2 linked regions of the Xenopus tropicalis genome follow. The protein of the gene in region 1 interacts with the protein of each later gene in a pairwise test. Links are inferred from orthologs where the notes say so. Each region holds a gene or a part of one and is shown on either strand. Other genes may lie near its edges.

Evidence for each region. The genes of interacting proteins can lie anywhere in the genome.
Region 2: the proteins of fchsd2 (region 1) and abcf3 interact in binary tests that used the Homo sapiens proteins (3 or more experiments, as listed by UniProt). The two-hybrid records come from large-scale screens. The link is inferred for Xenopus tropicalis from reciprocal best matches to the Homo sapiens genes FCHSD2 and ABCF3.

Annotation. Positions count from the first base shown.
Region 1 is NC_030678.2:172,222,682-172,226,255, forward strand, and holds part of fchsd2 (F-BAR and double SH3 domains protein 2), read right to left. Parts: coding exon 3,497-3,574; intron 1,708-3,496; coding exon 1,546-1,707; intron 130-1,545; coding exon 1-129. UniProt on the Homo sapiens protein: Adapter protein that plays a role in endocytosis via clathrin-coated pits. Contributes to the internalization of cell surface receptors, such as integrin ITGB1 and transferrin receptor.
Region 2 is NC_030681.2:100,064,563-100,066,976, forward strand, and holds the end of abcf3 (ATP-binding cassette sub-family F member 3), read right to left. Parts: intron 1,708-2,414; coding exon 1,575-1,707; intron 1,260-1,574; coding exon 1,172-1,259; intron 1,060-1,171; coding exon 901-1,059; 3' UTR 527-900; downstream 1-526.

The sequences.
Region 1 (3,574 bases):
AGAGTAGATGACTTTGCAAGTCAGCGGATAGTTCCGTAGGGTGCCAGAAGGACTGGAGCTGCTGTCATCAAAGGCATCCATGCTGTCCTCCAACTCCTCTCCATCCTCCCGATCCACATCTGTGCCTCCCTGTCAGCAAACAACCAAAGAAATCAGGCCTTCTGTCGGGGGAACATCAAAACCAACAACACACCTAACGCTGTGGCTATTCTTCACCTTAAAGGGGTTGTTCACCTTTGAATTAACTTTTAGTGTGATGTAGCAAGTGATATTCTGATAAAATTTGTAATTGGACTTTATTTTTTATTATTTGTATTTTTTTTTTTTAGTTATTTGACTTTGTTTAGCAGCTTTTCAGTTTGGAGATTGAGCAGCTATCTGGTTGCTAGGGTCCAAATTACCATAGCAACCAAGGCCTGGTTTGAATGAGAAGGCTGGTATATGAATGGCAGAGGGACTGGATAGAAAAGGTTATAAAAAAAAGTAACAATAACAAGAAAACTGGAGCCTCACAGAGCAATCGTTTCTGGCTGCCGGGGTCAGTGACCCCCATTTGAAAGCTGCAGAAGAAGGCAAATAGTTCAAAAACGATAAAAAATAAATAATGAAGACCAACTAAAAAGTTGCTTAGAATTGGTCATTCTATAACATACTTAAAGGTGAAGTGTAAAAAAGTGTAAAACCTGACAAATCCACAGATATCCATAGTACACGATGAATGGTAGCACCTATTGCCCTTCTACAGTATTTGTGTCTATCTTGCTTGGACTGTAAGCTTTGTGGTACAAGGCCTGCTGTCTCTTTAAACAGATGTGTAACTGTACAACTTTATTTATTTACTGCAGTGTTTTCAGCACTGGCATTTAGAGAATTCTGCCTTTCAGCACAAGAAGCCGGAGTTAATGAGTAAGCGAGACGCTCCCCTTGTGACACCGGAGACTCACGCTGCAATTACTACACATTCCCAGCCTTGTGTTCCTTTCATTTACATTTGCTGTAAATGAGGTGCCACTCATCGGCCGGTGCCTCCCAGACAGTTTATCAGACTGCCGGCCAGCGTTTCATAACCTGGGAGCATGATTTATGGTGAGACACCCACTGGCTCATTAACTTGTAATATAGAGAATTCCTCATGTTAAAGGGCAATAGGCCGGTAATAGATTTAACTTACAATCAGCAGCTCGGAAATACATTGCTTTGGGTTGTTCCTGCCTGTGGTTTTATGGCGAGATTTAATTACAGTAAGTACTGTAAATCCTAATTCACTTCCATTTTAATGCAATCACAGAATGACAAGGATCTTAGTATTAGTAACTACCCAAATGATATACCCAGCACACATGAGACAGCACATATGTGGCCCAATCGAATAGGAGATTGGCAACAGCTGGAACAGAACCCACTGGGCAATAATAGAAAAAGAAGTCATTCATGAGCTGCAGGTTGCCATTTTTTTGCAGTGACTGTAGCTGCAACCGTAAATAAGGTGCATTTTAATATAATATATTTTATATTATATTATATATAGAGGTAATGTGACTATACCATATGGGAGGAGCCATTATTCATCAGGGTTGGGAGGCTTGCCCAGCGCTCATTCTCCAGCTCCTCCATCACCTGATTCATTGCACTCTTCAGCCACGTGTCCACCGACACACCGATTTGCCGCAACAGATCCAGTCGGGCTTCAGCTTTTAGCTTTGTAATCTGTACAGGAATAGAACATTATTTGTTATTGTTTTTTATATAGTGGCATATTTCATCAGTCCCCGCCCCAGTGAAGCTTACAATCTAAGGTCCCTGTCAAATTCCTATCAGTCCCTGCCCCAGTGGAGCTTACAATCTAAGGTCCCTATCACATTCCCATCAGTCCCTGCCCCAGTGAAGCTTACACTCAAAGGTCCCTATAACATTGCCATCAGTCCCTGCCCCAGTGAGCTTACAATCTAAGGTCCTTATCACATTCCCGTCAGTCCCTGCCCCAGTGGAGCTTACAATCTAAGGTCCCTATCACATTCCCATCAGCCCCTGCCCCAGTGAGCTTACATTCCAAGGTCCCTATCACATTCACGTGGCCAATCTTGTTGCATCCAATTAACTTGCTTGTATGCTTTTGGTATGTGGGAGGAAGCTAAAGTACTGGCATGAAACCTATACAGACAATGGGAAAAAGCATAAACTCCTTGCAGATGGTTTCCAGGTCACAAAGGAACTTAGGATCCAGAGGCAGAAGCAGTGCTAACCATTTCTATGGACACATTTCCTTTGAATTTTGAATTAGAAATCACTGGCTTCCTGGTGGGAAGACATTTGCTTTGCCAATTGCGAGGAAACGTCGGGCATCTTAGTGATGCGTATGCCTTCTCACCGGCAGTTCACATTACTGCCGGTGGAAAAGTATTTAGGGGAGAGCAGTTGCCCACGTTAGCAGAAATTTATTGTGGGTGACTAATCTCCCTGTGGGACATTAGACTTAGCAATAATGAAGCATAACAAGGCATCAGTTACCAAAGACAGATAAGTAACTTATAACCAGATAGATAAATTACATGTTAAGTGAAAGGGTAGGAGGGTAGAGCTTTTGCTTGGCAATTCTCACTGTCTAATCAAGCACAAATAATCATTAGCTGCCCTAGGTATCCAGTATCTTCCTGCAACCTCATGTGCGTGCCACCATGCTGCTAATGTTCTCACAGCTATATTACAAATCCAAATATAGACCTTATTAGAAAGGCAACACAAAATAGGTCATTGGATTTGCCCCCTATATAGATACGCTAGTGCCCTCAGCTGTAAATGCCCCCTGAAAGCGGTTGCTAGTAATTGTAATTGCTCGTGGAGCATTTGGGCAAAACCAAATGGATCTGGGTGAATCTTTATTAAGGAAACTGGAGAAACACGAGTTAGATAAGGAAACACGAGTTAGATAATGAAAGTAAGAATCTGAGGTATAAGCAGCAGCAATAGGGCAATTTAGAGCCTAGATTATCTTTCTTACTTCCCCTTTATTTAACAATGCGGTACAGATGGTAGATCTGCATCCAATATTTATGGACTTTACACTCTAGGTATGGGAAATACCGGACCAGAAAGTCATAGGTGCATTACGAAACAGCCTCCCCCAGCCATGGGAAAGTAACCAGGCCAATGAAGTGTTGAAGTTTCTGATCTGAAAGGGCATACGGTAACCTAACCCCTGCAGCAACCAGACACAGGGACGCTAAACAATGTCACACCTGAGGAAGAGAATCAGGCGACAAAGAATATTGCCCTTTGTCGTGAAACCAGAGACAGATAGAGTCCTCATATTCTTGCCTAAGGCCTTAACCCTTACTGGGACATAATACTCATCAGCAACCAGTGACTTTTGCTGCAAGTTCTTGCTTCAAATCTTGCCTCTGTGCGCAAGCAAAGTTCTAAAATCTGGGAGCACAACACAACTGCACTGCTTGTTGGCCCCCCGATTTACCCCAGTGTTACAGATGGCACAACTTACCTCTGCCTTGCGCATATTCTCTCTAGTCTCTTCTATCTTTTGTTCCAGTTCCATCCGGCTCTGCTCTGAAACTGGGGT
Region 2 (2,414 bases), on another chromosome or scaffold:
TTACAATATAGATCGAGAAGTTAGTGCAGGAAACACATGGTGTGGTGGTTAGATGGAATTCGATACAAGACAGAAAGGGGGATTCCGCTCTTTATTTACAACATGTTAGTTTCACATCTCTCAACACTGTCAATAACTTAAGGGAAGCTGTGTGCTCTGTGTTTGGCAATAGTTCCACAATTCATTTGGCTGGTTACAATGTCTAATGATGAAGTACTGGGTGTATCCAATCCTGCTAACTAACAACTGGCATCTTTTAAAAATCAATAGTAACCTACAGTTTGCTAAAAAATTTAGAAGGTTTCAATGGATAAAATATTCAATTTTATGGCCAATTTAACAGGACTTACACATTATAAAGCAGCCATTTGAGTATTGTGACAACATTTGTTAAGCCATTAGTTGCCACAGCAGAAAACAAAGACAGGGAAATAGCTGAGCTTACATTACCTGGAGATCTGTGCATAACAATAGAAATGTATTTAAAACAGAAAATATAATAATTATATAGAAAGGCAATGTGTTGTTAATGTAAGGGCAGCTTTTATATGAAAAATGTGATTGGTATTCAGATTCATTTCAGTAGCAGGGACCAGATACACAGAGCACTGTGATTAGCAAAGGTAGCAGCCCCAGCCTTTACTGCATAAAACAGAATCACTTCTTACAAACAGCTGTTTTTGTTATTCCTCTTTAAAGTCTGAAAATAAATACAGTCCCTTATATCTCACAAGTAATGGCTCAGATCAAACAGCTGGAGTATCTGAGTTCAATGTAGCAACTTGCTCCATTTAACGTTCAGTCCTCTGCTCCCCAACATTTTACCATGGCAACGCTCATGGCGCAGCATAGGGCTCGGTAGGCAGACAGCAGCAAGGCCAGGATCCCACCGAGTCCACTCTATAGGAATCCCTCACGGCGAAACTGCTCTTGTAAGATATTTCTGTACTCATCAAAGCCACCTTCAATTCGTGTCACACCACCGTTTTCACAAACCCAGAGTTCTTGGCACACGAGTCTGATGAAACGTTCATCGTGAGATACCAAGATCACTCCACCCTGTAACAGAGAATAAAATATTAGGAGATACGAGGCAGAGCCCAGTGACAAGTGGAGCTGCTTATTACAAGGAGTTCTGCTATAGAAAGCTAAAGTGCAAAAAGAACAATACCTTGAATTTGTTCAAGGCTCTCCCCAAAGCTTCAATGGTCTCCATATCCAAATGATTTGTTGGTTCATCCAAAATATAAAAGTTGGGACTAAAAGAAAAACATGAGAGGAAGAACTCTTAAAGGAAAAATAATTTAATGAAGAGGAATATGCACACAAGCATTCCATTTTATTCTACAGAATAAGAAACTGCTATGCATGTCTACAATAGTAATGTCTATGCAAACGCTTCTCTAAAAAGCAGAGCAGCAACTCACACACAGATGGATATTAAGTGCAGGAATGTTTGATAAACTTTAAATCCTTTTGAGTTTTCCATCAAAATGTTCCACTGAAAACAGCCAGAATCTTGTATAATTAATAAGTTCCATTTCGCAATATGTTCATTGAGCACATGAACTCACCAGGGCATGGTCATTTGTGCAAATGCCACTCGGCTCTTCTGGCCCCCAGAAAGACTAGCAACTGGTCTCACTGCCAATTCGCCAGATATCCCATAACTTCCCAGCTGGTGGCGATATTCCTCCTCAGTTTTACCTACAAGACACAGAGTAATTAAAACAAAGCAGTATGGAAGACCAGAAAAAGCAACATGAGTGATCCATATTTTCACCACAATTCATGTTAGACAACTGCTTAATTAATTAATCAATCCATCTTGCTTTAATGTAATGGCACGGAGGCAGTTTGGGCCTTTTAGGCAGGGAGAGGGGGCACCAAAACAACTGAAAATACCATTGTATTGAAAAAGGAGATTTATACTTACCGTTACATCCTTTTCTCTTAGTCCTATAGGGGACACAGGCACCATGGGGTTAAATCCCCTCCCATCAGGAGGCAGGACACTGTATAATTTTGGTTTCTCTCCCCTATATAACCTCTTACCCCACCCAGGTACCTCAGTTATGTAACAAGACCGAGCAAACAGTGCTCTTAACTTAATAACTATAAGCTATAACACAGCTGAGTGAGAAGGTATGCATGATCCCTAAGTTTCCAGGGAGGGTGGCCTGTGTCCCCTATAGGACTAAGAGAAAAGGATGTAACGGTAAGTATAAATCTCCTTTTCTCTTGCGTCCTGGGGGACACAGGCACCATGGGGACATACCAAAGCCGTCCCCACTGGGAGGGAGGAAACTGAACTAGAATTTATTGCAGTCTAGCTTTGAACTACCGACTGCAGAACTTTACGCCCGAAGGCTGCCTCGGCCGAGGCGAAGGTATCGAAGCGATAGAATTTTGCA